2 linked regions of the Saccharomyces cerevisiae S288C genome follow. The protein of the gene in region 2 binds, or shares a complex with, the protein of the main gene of each other region. Each region holds a gene or a part of one and is shown on either strand. Other genes may lie near its edges.

What was found. The genes of interacting proteins can lie anywhere in the genome.
Region 1: SSL2 (region 2) and TFB4 share a complex: the UniProt entries of both Saccharomyces cerevisiae proteins name them as parts of the 7-subunit TFIIH core complex.

Annotation. Positions count from the first base shown.
Region 1 is NC_001148.4:669,619-674,909, reverse strand, and holds TFB4 (TFIIH/NER complex subunit TFB4), read right to left. Parts: upstream 3,785-5,291; coding exon 2,768-3,784; downstream 1-2,767. Other genes in the region: chorismate mutase ARO7, read left to right, coding at 1-49; YMC1 (organic acid transporter), read right to left, coding at 236-1,159; BRR1 (Brr1p), read right to left, coding at 1,414-2,439; exocyst subunit SEC8, read right to left, coding at 4,037-5,291. UniProt on the Saccharomyces cerevisiae protein: Component of the general transcription and DNA repair factor IIH (TFIIH) core complex, which is involved in general and transcription-coupled nucleotide excision repair (NER) of damaged DNA and, when complexed to TFIIK, in RNA transcription by RNA polymerase II.
Region 2 is NC_001141.2:80,010-89,552, reverse strand, and holds SSL2 (TFIIH/NER complex ATPase/helicase subunit SSL2), read left to right. Parts: upstream 1-6,511; coding exon 6,512-9,043; downstream 9,044-9,543. Other genes in the region: tropomyosin TPM2, read left to right, coding at 1-323; REV7 (Rev7p), read left to right, coding at 837-1,574; AXL2 (Axl2p), read right to left, coding at 1,716-4,187; chaperonin-containing T-complex subunit CCT2, read right to left, coding at 4,668-6,251; kinetochore-associated Ndc80 complex subunit NDC80, read right to left, coding at 9,404-9,543. UniProt on the Saccharomyces cerevisiae protein: ATP-dependent DNA translocase. Component of the general transcription and DNA repair factor IIH (TFIIH) core complex. When complexed to CDK-activating kinase (CAK), involved in RNA transcription by RNA polymerase II.

The sequences.
Region 1 (5,291 bases), on a different chromosome or scaffold from region 2:
CACTAAGGAAGTTGAGGTGGAATACTTGCTAAGAAGGTTGGAAGAGTAAGCATGAAGGCTATCACGGTAACAATTCCACATTGCCGAGTGATTACTACGCATATATAAACACACACACTCACCATATATATGTACGCATAGTAGCATCTATTGAATATAAGAAGATAGAGTTTCAAGTTATACATTATATTGTACTATTTTCTTAAACGATGGCTCATAAATTCTATAGGAATTATCAACCCAATAACCTCATCGCTAATTCAAAAGTAGCAAAAGTGGCACCATTGGCGGGAGCAGCTCTTAGCATGGTAGGACCAAACCCTTTGAAAAAAGCGCCTATCCCTCCATTGGCATATAAAGTCTTGGCTACACTGGAAATAGAATTACCAAATTTAGGCTTTTGTAAATTATCCGTTTGCATGACAGACTTGATGACATCTAATGGATATACCATCAACCATAAGGCAGTGCCAGACAATGCTCCAAAAATACAAAGTTTCCATGCAGGAATGTCCTTTCTCTCTAGTCCACGTCTTTTGTTCATTTGGTTAGCAATCAACGCTTCATACACTAAGAAATATGTGCCACATCCATGACCTTCTCTCAATATTGTAGGTGTTAAACCACGTAGCAAGGCCTTGTTATGTCTTAATTTTTTGATGCATTCCAAAGGACCCTTGAATTCTGCGTTGGTGCCTGAGCCAGTCTGTGTTTGCAAGCGAATCCTGACATGCTCAATTGGGGACGCCAAGAATGAGTTTACTATACCGCCTGTGACACCACATGCGTAATACTGTGGCAATGACAAAGTCGATGACATATCAGCATTGCGATGATGAAAAAATCTCTTCATAGCTTCATTAACACCAAATTGTAATGAAACACATGCACCAACACCAATTAATGGCGTCAGAGTTCCTTTGTAAAACCCGCGAGGCCCTTCATTGGCAAGCAGCTTTCTGACGACTTCCATGGCTGTTGTTGGGGTGCTCGATGTTTGTAACCTAACTTTTGTCGTATCAAAGGGCTGGCCCACTAGCACTTGCGCAATACCACCCGCTGTACCTGCAAGCAAATCTTTCACGACTCGAGCATTATCATGCTGTGGATGTTCTTCCAAATCATCGATTAGTTGAGGAGATGGAAATTCTTCAGACATACTTCTTCGTGATGCGAATTTGATTGACGAGAAACCTAAACAAGAGAGCTGCGTTGGAGTATAGATGATAGTTGTTATTAGCTTATTGACATTGATTGATGCTATAGCATGGCTACATCATCGCTGACAATTTGCGCTCGAGTTTTCTTAGGGCGCCGCTTATCTTCGGCCTATCAGTAAATGTAAGAATGAGTCAATCAAAGTAATAACACTTTTTACTTCCTGTAAAAAACTACATAAGAAATTTATTTACATTATTCTATCAAGTCTTTTTGACCATAGTTCACTGCTATAACAGACACTGTCAGCTCAGTTATCGTCATATTCTCCACCGCGGCTGGTATCTCAACATTCAATTCCGCCATCTCCTTCGGGAGTGTTATTTTATTCTCATGTGCTTCAACTGGCTTCTTTTGAATCAGTTCAAGGCATTTCTTTCCAAGATCTCTCAAGATGCTTGTATATTCTGCCGTGACTCTTTCGGGTGTATGTACCAGTATGTAGAATAGCCAATCTTGCAGCCGACGATAATGCCTTCCTTTCTTGTGTATTTCTTTTATCCATGTATTCGACATATACTTGATCAGAACCCAAAGTTGCTTAGAGGTAATCTTTTCATGAAAAGTAGTATGCTGCGGTTCATTGTTTATAAGGTATTGGAACCACTGGTTGTATCCAACTAGTTCATGTTTATCTCCTTCAGTGATTACTTTTTTTACATCCTCAACACTGTCAATCTTGGTTTTTTCCAGCCGTACCAAAATATTCTTCGCCCATTCCTCATCAATCTGAAGATTTTCTTCCTTCTCTTCTGCCTTCTCAGGAAAGGAATGCTGATTTAGGACACTTATAATTTTTTCAACTGTAGTACATTTGCTGGGCATATCTTCGAGATAATTCTTTAAGAAAAGCAATAAAAGATCCAGTGTTTCGTCCTCATAACCGGTAAACTCGTAGGCATTAGTCAACACCGTCGCCTTCACAGAGTTAAACCACCTTACCCATATTTCTACATTCCTTTGAAGCCTAATCAAGGATGGCGAGATGGCGTGCCTTTTAAGGGCCCCCTCATCCTCATCATCGTACATGCTTGATTTGTGACGCGTCCTCTTTTGCAGATTCATATGATTCTTAATCGATATGGCGTTGGTTCTTAGTGCTTCTTGCCTAACACTTTTAAGATATTCAATGACATCAGGATTCACTGAAGAATCAGATAGTGCAAATGCACGAGATTGACCAAAGATGGCATCAGGCGCCTGGCTTTCTCCTCTTTTCATTGTTTATCACCTAATGTTTCTGTTATGATGGATGTTGGCAATGTTATTGTATGATACATTATCCAAAGCGAACTAATAAATCTACCGAAGCAACAACAGCGATGCACCCAGACAGTACATAGATAGTTATATTATCAAATTCGATATGATTGAAGTCAAAACAGTTCAAAGATGACACAACGTCTTAAGCTAATCACATCAAAAGCTTTTTTTTTTCTGTGGAATGTCCAATATACATGTGCTTAAAGCTAATTTTTTTTTATGTATTATTACGATGCATTGTGACGAAGGTTACCTGCTTGAAACGGATAATGTTCATTCCTTTCGTTCATGGTTTCGTCACCTTCTTTTTGGCTTTCAACCTTGGAACAACTGGTTTCCTCTTCAACTTGGCAATTACGTGCTCATCAAATTGAGAATCACAAGCAGGACATTTATTTCCGGGCGGTATGATTGATAAGACACATAGGCAAACTGAACAGATGAATCCAACGGCAACAACTCTCCCTGTTAAATAGCATGATGTCCTAAAATCTACAGATCCATGGTTTGGCTTAACAATTATAGGTCTTAACGACGGATCAATAAACATTGCAGTTGCTAAATATTGAATTAGCCCTTCTGTAGATTCAACATGTAAATAAACGCCATTTGTGGCATCCGTCGTTTGCTGTAAAAACGTGCTTTCCTTAGAACCACCAATCTTTACGACATCAATGGGACATTTCATTTTTGTTGCGGAAAAAATACAGTTCATTATAGGGATGTATTGGAAAATTTCATCTTTACTACTGCCACTCCCGCACGTAAGAACAAGTAGCCTTGATTTTAATGAGGTAGTTACTGACTCTTTTGATATTCTGTTTACATAAGTCAGCCCAGCTGACATGGCACCTGCTAGCGTGCTCCTTTGACTATTTTGTTCGATTTGTTTCTTTTCTAACTCAAATAGTTTATATATTTCTTCCACTAGCGTCTCATCAACGTTTCTAAAACGTCTATACATATCTGAGTTAATAATCTTAAGATCACTACGGGTTTTATTTTCAGATTCAGAGGCTTTTAGAGCAGATGTGCTCTCTGGGTATAAATATTTGATTCCCTGAGAGTATGCAGCAATGACTGCTACTTTGTTGGCGCTATTGAACGCTAAGTGAGCATTGAGAAATACTATCAATGCCTCTAAAACCTTTATTATACTTCCTTTCTCATTTCCTTCCTCATCAAAAGTTGTCCATAACTTTGGTGCAATTTCTATAATAACGGTAAGCAAAGATGGTGATTCTTCAGTAACCTGTTTTCTTGATCTAGCATGCTTAAACGTTGGATCAGATATTGCATCCATTTCTGATTGCTTCGCTTCAGTATATTTTATTGGATCGTGTATATTTCTACTCAAGTGTTGATTGATGTTGTAATGTTCCTTCAGGTATCTTTGAATTTCAACAGAACAAGACGAGCTGCGCGCTGAAAATAAAATAAAAGTGCAAGTGAAAAATATTGTAAAAATAAGGTAATTAAAAATATAGTTATTCGCTTATTATTGATCATTTTCATTCATTTATTTATCAAATTAATTTTACACAAACTAAAAATGTCATTTTTCGTTTGCAGTATGGACAGCATTCAATTTGCTTTTAAGTTTTCCAATCTTGGTGCGGGCTCCTTCTTTCGACTGCTCTTTTTCGAGGTTACTTAGTTTCTCCAAAGCTTCAGTGTACCTCTTATTGGAAGGTTTTATGGAACCCTTAGTTGAGCTAGTGCTTTGTCTCTTCAATTGACGATGCATTTCCTCGCTAAACTGCAGCCTCAATATGGTTTTCAAATCTTCGACAGAACAATGCGGTAATTCATTGTCTTTTATATATTCAAATAGTTCAGCTTCACTGGAGCCGCATAAAGAGTAAAAATTCATTGTGACGTTCATATTAATTTTTGATGGTTCAGAAGAAAGATTTCTATAGGCATGTTGTAAGACATTTACATTTCTCAACATTTTCTTTATCCCGTTATGGTTCAAAACTTTTATGGATTTGGCACCCTTAATCAAGGCGTAGTTGTTGACTATATCAAGACCAATAAATATGGAGTTTTTTTCCTTTTCTGGTAACTGTTGTTTCAATTTGCTTTCAGTCCTTCTTAATTCGGAAATTAGAGAAGCTATATTTTGATCTAATTCAATACTACCCACATCCATATTCCAAATTTTGGTGTTTTGAAAAAAAGACCCGATGTCGTATATACACAAGGCCCTAATGTTGAACCTCAGTATAGTGATTAGTTTGAATTTCAAGGTTTTGAATCCGTCGATAGTCTCATCAAATTTTTTGGAGGCTTTATCATCCAATAAAATTTTTAGATTTCCTAATGAATTTGGGCTGGAACTAGGGTTCGAATAGTTTAAATCCATTGATTCAGAAAATGTCCAGCTGCTCCTTAATCTATCAGCATCTAACATGGGTTCTTGGCTTACTTCATCAATATTGATAGCCTTTTTTAAGCCTGGCAGCCAGTTTAATATCCATAACACGCTTGCCGAAAACTGCAGAATTGTGTCCAATGTCAAGTTATTGAATAAATCAGATTTGCTCAAACCTTTACCCGCTTGATAGAAATGAGGTATTTCCTTAAATAACTCTATGGATTCTTCATGAAAGAGTGTCTCATCCCCATTCAGAATTTTTTGTTCTTGATCCATCAAAATACCATTCTGCAACCATGCCGTAATTATTTTCCTAGTTAAATGTCTATCAGAAGTACCAATCAAGGAATTAAATAGCCCCAAGTAGTAATTATAAAAATGATTCAAAAGATCTAGAATGCAGTACGATATTTTTTCTCTAAATGTGTTT
Region 2 (9,543 bases):
GTGAAGTGGAGAAGTTAGAGAGTCAATTGTCTGATACAAAGCAATTGGCTGAAGACTCCAATAACTTGAGATCTAATAATGAGAACTACACCAAGAAAAACCAGGATCTAGAACAACAGCTAGAAGACAGTGAAGCCAAACTGAAGGAAGCAATGGATAAACTGAAAGAGGCCGATTTGAACTCTGAGCAAATGGGTAGAAGGATCGTTGCTTTGGAAGAAGAAAGAGATGAATGGGAAAAGAAGTGCGAAGAATTCCAAAGCAAATATGAAGAAGCTCAAAAAGAATTGGACGAAATTGCTAATTCATTGGAAAATTTATGATTCCCATTGATAAGACTAAAATTACGGAAGATACAAACGACAAACGCGCTAAAGGCAACGGAGGTGATGATTTTATTATTGCTCACACAACTGATGTTGCTGACAGATGGCAAATCCTTTTCATTTTAGTTATTATCATTGGGTGCTTTTTGGAAAAAAGATGAACTAAGCCTCTCTTTATTTCGTCCATTTTATTCTAGCTTTTACATTATGCTTTCACCTTTACCAAAAAATAGTATGTATTTCTTTTCCCCTTGCTATAAATCAAAAGTACGTAGAAACATAAACAGGCGAGAAATACATATGCATATACGTCTACACTACTAATTTAATTTCCACTTTCTTAATATCAGTCAATCGAAACCACTAGCTTTCACACTAAGACTAGACCCTGTTTAACTAATATAAACTTTTCCAGAAAGCTAAAAAAAAGGTCGGAAAAAGAAGGTATACGTTTTTGCGACGACTGAGATCCAAGAAGAAAAAAAAAATAGTAATCGTTGCGTCAGCTTTATGAATAGATGGGTAGAGAAGTGGCTGAGGGTATACTTAAAATGCTACATTAATTTGATTTTATTTTATAGAAATGTATACCCACCTCAGTCATTCGACTACACTACTTACCAGTCATTCAACTTGCCGCAGTTCGTTCCCATTAATAGGCATCCTGCTTTAATTGACTATATAGAAGAACTTATACTGGATGTTCTTTCTAAATTAACGCACGTTTACAGATTTTCCATCTGCATTATTAATAAAAAGAACGATTTATGCATTGAAAAATACGTTTTAGATTTTAGTGAATTACAACATGTGGATAAAGACGATCAGATCATTACGGAAACTGAAGTGTTCGACGAATTCCGATCTTCCTTAAATAGTTTGATTATGCATTTGGAGAAATTACCTAAAGTCAACGATGACACAATAACATTTGAAGCAGTTATTAATGCGATCGAATTGGAACTAGGACATAAGTTGGACAGAAACAGGAGGGTCGATAGTTTGGAGGAAAAAGCAGAAATTGAAAGGGATTCAAACTGGGTTAAATGTCAAGAAGATGAAAATTTACCAGACAATAATGGTTTTCAACCTCCTAAAATAAAACTCACTTCTTTAGTCGGTTCTGACGTGGGGCCTTTGATTATTCATCAGTTTAGTGAAAAATTAATCAGCGGTGACGACAAAATTTTGAATGGAGTGTATTCTCAATATGAAGAGGGCGAGAGCATTTTTGGATCTTTGTTTTAAGTGCAAAAATGAAATTTGAAGAATGGAATTAAAATTAAATGTCTCTAAGTATAAAAACTAAATAAAATATAGGGTATCTGTAAACCACTAATAAAAAATAAAACAGGAAAATAAAATTAAGCAAAATATCGTTGCGTATAATCACAGCATTTCTGGGATGCGTCCGTGAATGTCCTTAACTTGACCAACATTGACATTACTCTTATTTGAAAAATCTACTAACCTTTTCTTACTTGGTCTTCTGTCTGGTTCCATGCTATGGACCCAGCAAAAATTTTCACCATCTTTAACCGGAACAAAATCGTCAGAAGATGAAGTTGACATTGTTGTGGGAGTGATTCCGTTTTTACCGCTTTGAGAGTCTTGAATATTTTGTAAGTGGCGGTTACGATGCTTCGTTACGTTATATGGTGATGGTGTTACTGATTTTCTTACGGGAGAAGGGCTAATATTGCTGTTCCAAGGGTCCAGTGAAGACATAGTGACATCCCTTGACGTACGTTTTTCCTTCTCTGGTGCTTCTAAATCGAAAAGTTTTTCTGTATCAACAGTTTTTTGTGATCCGTAACTGTCTCTGACAATATCAGAGACTGGTGACAGGTTGCCAGTATATCGCCAGGATTTATTTACTGCTGGTTCACTATCCATATACACAGAAGAAGACCTATTCTGTGGGTCAAAGAACGGGCTCTCTGGAGGCTGTACTGGGGGTTTTGCTAATAATTCTTCTTTACTTTGGGATTGGAACTGATCATTGTATGTATTCATACCTGATAGAGAATCTCTCTTTTCATCCACGCTGGAAATATCAGATTCAGTGGCAGAGTGGTTATCCAATTTCAAAGTGTTCAAAGCAGCCAATCTTCTTGCTATTGAAGTATCATCGTACGAGGAAGCATCATCATCAAAGGGGTTGTTCAAAGGTGTAGCGTTTTCTTGATTTGGTTTATTTGCAGGATTATTCAAATCAGGTCCACTAATAGCATGCGGTAAGTTTTCATCGTCTGGATTTTCCCTTCTGCGTCTCCAGAATATTAGGAAGCAAATGAGAGCTACTAGGATAACGCCTAATGGGATAGCAACACCGCACGCAATTGCTACTGCTTTTTTATTGTGAGATGAAGTTTTATTGGCTGCTGGCAGCGCTGCTGGAGCAGAAGAAGTAGCAGCAGCGGAGGTAGAAGAAATTTTTGCAGTGTAAGTAGAAGATGTGTAAGAACTTGTTGAGGTGGAGTGGTGAGAACTTCTTGTGGACGTTGCATTCGCACTGTGGTTTGAGTGAGTTATCTTTGAATCCATGCCAATGATGTTAAAATATAGCTCTTGAGATTGTGAACCTTGGTTCGCTTTCAAACCTAATGAAAGCTTGTCGAAATTCTTGGGCACTTCTCCAGCTAATGTTAAATTAGATGATTGGAATTTCACCCAGTCATGGTCTTGGCTTGAATTAGTAAACTCTAATGAAACGTTTGTATTCACGTAGTCTGTAAACTGAGAAGGCAAAAAATAGTAGGAGAACCATTCACCCCTTGTAGCGTTAATATTGGGAAGAGAACTAATGGCAAACAAATCCGTTGTGGAGACAACTTCGAAGTTGAAATAAATCACATCACCATAAGTATCATAAATGGACACAGAAAAATTGGCAGGATTGGAGTTCTTACCGAGTAATTCATCTGGGACAGACCCGGAAATGGTAGCATTATCTAATGCCACCCAGTCTGGAGCATCCAATAAGTTTATAGAACCCAATTTATCAGAAGAAATAGGATCGTCATCGAGATAAACATAGTTTAGAGGTAAGTCATATGAAACGTTACCTGTGTCAGTAACGTTGATTATCAAACTATTTTGAATAGAGGTAGTTAACTGGTGAGCCCCGATGACTAATTCGAATTCTACCTCAACGGCAGAAAATCCTTCAATGTCTGTAGCGATGATGACAAAACTGTAGCTTGTTTCTGGAGCAATCGCCGAGTTTATCACCGGTGCCGTCCCAGTAAACTTCAACTCGCCAGAATCGAAGAACAGCCAATTGGGTAACGGCGCATTATACAACTGAGAACGTCCGTAATACGACACAATGGATTCTTCGTTAGTGAACATTGAACGGTCAAAAGTCACGTTGAAGACTTCATTAGGATCTAGTTTCAGAGCGTTTTTGCCGTTAGTATAACCATAGTTTTTTAACAACGCCAATAGATTGAAATCTGACGATAGCGAGATGGATGGACGGTTTGTAACAACAAATTGGTATGTATTGTTCAAAGACGTGCTGTCGGCAGAGTCCGTACCCTCGAGTATTACATTGAAATACAACGTGGTGTTCGCATCAGATAGTAAGTCAGAAGAAGGTTCACCTGAGAACGTTCTAGAACTAGAGTCAAACGAAAGCCAGCTCGGTAAGTCGAAGCAATTGTATGTTATTTGAGCTGTCTTGTCTACAGACGATTTATAGGTATCATTGGAAATTTGAAATGTAAACGATTCATTGACTCTTGCCACTGGGGGGTATTGTTTTCCGATAGGATATGCCTCATAGGGCGTGGCCACTACTAGATGGAGTAGTGATATAGTAGCTGTCAGCAATAATGAAATCTGAAGCTGTGTCATGGTAAGTGAATGCTTCTTGATATACGTAGATGTTGGAAGCAGGAAATCGTTTCGAGGAAGATATAATTTTTCTATTAAGTAATTGTTCTGTTCTTCTAGTGATGGTGGCTGTTGCAGTGTCAATCACTACAGGATGTGAGAGTAAAGAATAAGAAAATAAGTTCTCATATGAAAAGTGAAAATTACTCGACAAAGGAGGGCGACTCTCGGCAAGGAGCTTTGAGGTTGTGGAGATGCTATCTTTAACCATACCTACGATGGGTATTATTACATTCTTGAGACAGGGCTCGAGTACTGCTCGAAGAGGAAACATAAGTTGCCAAAATTTATTTGTGACGCGAATTGCCAAAAGTTCTATGACGCGTTGTTCTTTTTTTTTCGCGTCTTTGAATTATATAGTGGATAATTTTTGCGTTCTGTTTCTAATTATAATAATGACAGTGTGGCGGTTTATTATTTTCGAGGTATATCCTAAATATGTTACATATGTTGTCTATTGGCGGTTCTTGGTCTTGCACGGATGATGTTATCCACCCTTAGTAGAACTTCAGCGGCTTCAGATGCAGAGCTGACTACTGCTCGTTTTAGCTTGTAACTCTCGACGATACCTAACTGTCTCATGTCGGCAATGGTTCCGTTGTTGAGATCTAAACCTGAGGTGGAGATACCGTTGTATATGGAGGATCTTAGTTTGGACACAAGTTCGCTGCTGTCAAAACCAGCATTATCTGCCAAAATGGTTGGCAGTTGTCTCAGAGCACGGGCAAAAGCCTCCACGGCAAGGGACTTCTTTCCGTCGATGTTTTGAGCTTCGGTGTCCACAGCTTTTGACATGACCATCTCGGCGCAACCGCCGCCAAGAACAGTTCTTGTTTCCTTTGTGGTCTGTGACAACACGGACAATGCGTCATGCAGGGATCTCTCAGCTTCATCAAGCGTTTGGTCGGTAGCACCTCTTAGGACGATGGTACAAGCTTCACCAGCTTTGCAACCACTAAACTTCAAGAATGGCTGTTCACCAAGCATAATTTCCTCGATCACGTCACATTCTCCCAGTTTGCATTTACTTGGCTCGTCAAATGTAGACACCACCTCACCGCCTGTAACCAGGGCGAGCCTTTCTACACCTTCAAAATCAGCATGCTCAATTGAGTTTATGCCCAAATCTGTAAATAATTGCTCTGGATAGTCATAAATTAGTTGTCTATTGATGAAAGTGTTGATACCAAACTTGGAAATCTTGGCAATTTTATTCTTCATCTTTTCACGTTCTGCCTTTTCTAGTTGTGCCAATTTAGCAGTAGAATCGACTTTGAATTTGGTGCCGAATATTTTGACCTTGTCTGTATCCAAAGTTGTATTGGCGATTAGAATCTTAGCATTTTCAATTCTCTTGGGTTGGTTGTTACCAAATTTTTTGGCAAGAATGAAACCTTCGTCAAGGAACGAATCTGATAGCTTTCCACCAAGAATCTTAATGATCTGAATATGTTCTAAGTTAGTGGAGCCCTTCAATCTCAAAATAGCATTAGTTGCTAATTCTGCGAAGTGATCCTTATCCTGAGACAAAATTTTGGAAGATAAAGTAGTCTTGGCAATATGGATCAGATCTTCACGGAACATGGTCTTATCATGAGAGTTGTCAACAGCCGCTTTCGTTAACGCATCCAATGCGGCTGCTGAAGCTAGTCGGTAACCTTCAATAATAGTTTGAGGGTGGATTTTGGATTGATCAATCAACTTCTCTGCTTCTCTAAGCAACTCTGCGCTCAAAACAGTAACACTAGTGGTACCATCTCCAACTTCGTCATCCTGCACCTTACTGATGTTCACCAACACTTTGGCTGCGGGATTATCCAGCGGAATTGACTTCAGAATCGTAGCACCATCGTTTGTTACCATGCAAGTGTTACTGGACGCACTTTGCAATAATTTATCCATCCCTTTTGGGCCTAATGTGCTTTTCACCAAATCACCCACGGCAATGGCACCGACAAACGCCGACAAACGGGCGTTTTCCGCTCTTTCTTCTGTAACCTGGTCTCCAAATATCTGTACACTCATCCTGAATCTTTTGAGCTTTGTACGACTGACTCTTCTTGCCTATTTAATGGCCACCTTTCATCCTCTTTTTTATTGCTCTGCTCTTGTCTTTTAAACTCGCCACCGCGAAGAGAAAAAAATTTCAGATCGTTAGAAACGAGGTTTTTCTTCTAAGAAGTATAAGGAAAAAGGTCCTTAGTAAGGATAGATAATAGTAATGATATCTACATTATTTAGTAAAAGTAGCATCTACTGACGTTGGAATCAGTGGAAGATAAATCATGACGGACGTTGAAGGCTACCAACCTAAGAGCAAGGGGAAAATCTTTCCAGATATGGGTGAGTCCTTTTTCTCATCAGATGAGGATTCACCAGCTACTGATGCAGAGATCGATGAGAACTATGATGATAACAGGGAAACGTCAGAAGGACGTGGAGAAAGGGATACCGGCGCCATGGTAACAGGGTTGAAGAAGCCTCGGAAAAAGACCAAGAGTAGCAGGCATACAGCGGCGGATTCCTCTATGAATCAAATGGACGCTAAGGATAAAGCGCTTTTGCAGGACACTAATAGCGATATACCAGCAGATTTCGTTCCAGATTCCGTCTCTGGAATGTTCAGAAGCCATGACTTTAGTTATTTGCGGTTAAGACCAGACCATGCTTCCAGGCCCCTTTGGATCTCGCCAAGTGACGGTAGGATCATTCTGGAGAGTTTCTCTCCATTAGCAGAACAGGCTCAGGACTTTCTGGTCACCATTGCAGAGCCTATAAGTAGACCCTCCCATATTCATGAATACAAGATCACAGCATACTCTTTGTATGCAGCTGTTTCTGTAGGGTTGGAGACGGATGATATCATTTCAGTTCTGGATAGATTATCCAAAGTACCCGTTGCTGAATCGATAATCAACTTCATTAAAGGGGCTACCATTTCATACGGTAAAGTGAAACTAGTTATTAAGCATAATAGATATTTCGTGGAGACTACACAAGCAGATATTCTGCAAATGTTGCTGAATGATTCCGTCATCGGGCCCCTAAGAATAGATAGCGATCATCAAGTACAGCCACCAGAGGATGTACTACAGCAACAACTTCAGCAAACCGCTGGAAAACCCGCTACTAATGTTAATCCGAACGATGTGGAAGCCGTGTTTAGTGCAGTTATAGGTGGTGATAATGAGCGGGAAGAAGAAGATGATGATATTGATGCCGTTCACTCCTTTGAAATTGCCAATGAGTCTGTTGAAGTCGTAAAGAAAAGATGTCAAGAAATCGATTATCCCGTGTTGGAAGAATACGACTTTAGAAACGACCATAGAAACCCGGATTTAGATATTGATTTGAAACCTTCCACTCAAATCAGACCCTATCAAGAAAAATCGCTGAGTAAAATGTTTGGTAATGGGCGTGCTCGTTCAGGGATTATTGTTTTGCCATGTGGCGCAGGTAAAACTTTGGTCGGTATTACCGCAGCATGTACTATAAAAAAATCCGTAATTGTTTTATGTACTTCATCAGTCTCCGTCATGCAATGGAGGCAGCAATTTTTACAATGGTGTACCTTACAACCTGAAAATTGTGCTGTTTTCACCTCTGATAATAAGGAAATGTTCCAGACAGAATCCGGTTTGGTTGTTTCCACTTATTCAATGGTGGCAAACACAAGAAACAGGTCTCATGATTCACAAAAAGTTATGGATTTCTTGACCGGTAGGGAATGGGGGTTCATTATTCTTGACGAAGTTCATGTGGTGCCCGCCGCAATGTTCCGTAGGGTGGTCTCCACCATCGCAGCACACGCCAAATTGGGACTGACCGCAACGCTGGTTAGAGAAGATGATAAAATTGGTGATCTGAATTTTTTAATTGGTCCAAAACTTTATGAAGCAAATTGGATGGAATTATCCCAAAAAGGACATATTGCAAATGTCCAATGTGCAGAGGTTTGGTGTCCCATGACAGCAGAATTTTACCAAGAGTATTTAAGAGAAACTGCAAGGAAAAGAATGCTACTGTATATCATGAATCCAACAAAGTTTCAGGCATGCCAATTCTTAATTCAATATCACGAAAGGAGGGGTGATAAGATCATCGTTTTTTCAGATAATGTTTACGCCTTACAAGAATATGCTTTGAAAATGGGAAAACCATTTATTTATGGTTCCACACCACAACAAGAGCGTATGAACATTCTGCAAAATTTCCAGTACAATGACCAAATCAATACCATATTTCTATCAAAAGTTGGTGATACTTCCATCGATTTACCAGAAGCTACCTGTTTAATTCAAATATCTTCGCACTATGGGTCTCGTCGTCAAGAAGCCCAAAGATTAGGAAGAATTTTAAGAGCTAAAAGACGTAATGACGAAGGTTTCAATGCGTTCTTTTATTCTCTGGTTTCTAAGGATACGCAAGAAATGTACTACTCAACAAAGAGACAAGCGTTTTTGGTAGATCAAGGTTACGCATTCAAAGTCATTACACATTTACACGGAATGGAGAACATTCCAAATTTGGCATATGCTTCACCCAGAGAACGTAGAGAGCTATTGCAAGAAGTATTATTGAAGAACGAAGAAGCTGCTGGTATCGAGGTCGGTGATGACGCTGACAATTCTGTTGGGAGAGGTTCAAATGGCCACAAAAGATTTAAATCAAAGGCCGTTAGAGGTGAAGGTTCATTGTCTGGTCTTGCTGGCGGTGAAGATATGGCATATATGGAATACAGTACCAATAAAAACAAAGAACTGAAGGAACATCATCCATTAATCAGAAAGATGTATTATAAGAATTTGAAGAAGTGAATAGGCTTGGTTTCATTGTCACCTTCCTATTTTGAATCTATTCAGTCATAATACCTTTTTGTTCCCACCGTCTTCTTATTCTTTCGTCGCTGTTCTTTCTTTTATTGATTCGTCACGTCCATTTTCTTCCATAATATAAAAAATAAAAAAAAAATAGAACATTCCTAATTAAAGCATCCAAATATACTTACATATATTTATTTTAAAAATAACTACATATCAATACTTACTTAAATTGGTTTGGAATACTTGAGAAGGGGAGTGAGGGTGGAATTGAACAAAATGCAGGTTATTAAAATGCGGAAAGGTGGGGCTGAGCTTTGCTGTAGATTGCTCGGGTATTATATATCATTTATTTTATTAATTTGTTACGTTATGTTCAGTTTCAAACTCCAAATTTCGTAACTCTTCAATGACGTTTCCTAATTCGTTTTCAGAGTTTTCCAATGACGATTGAATATTAATTTTAAATTTACTTGTTATATCAATAACATGTATCA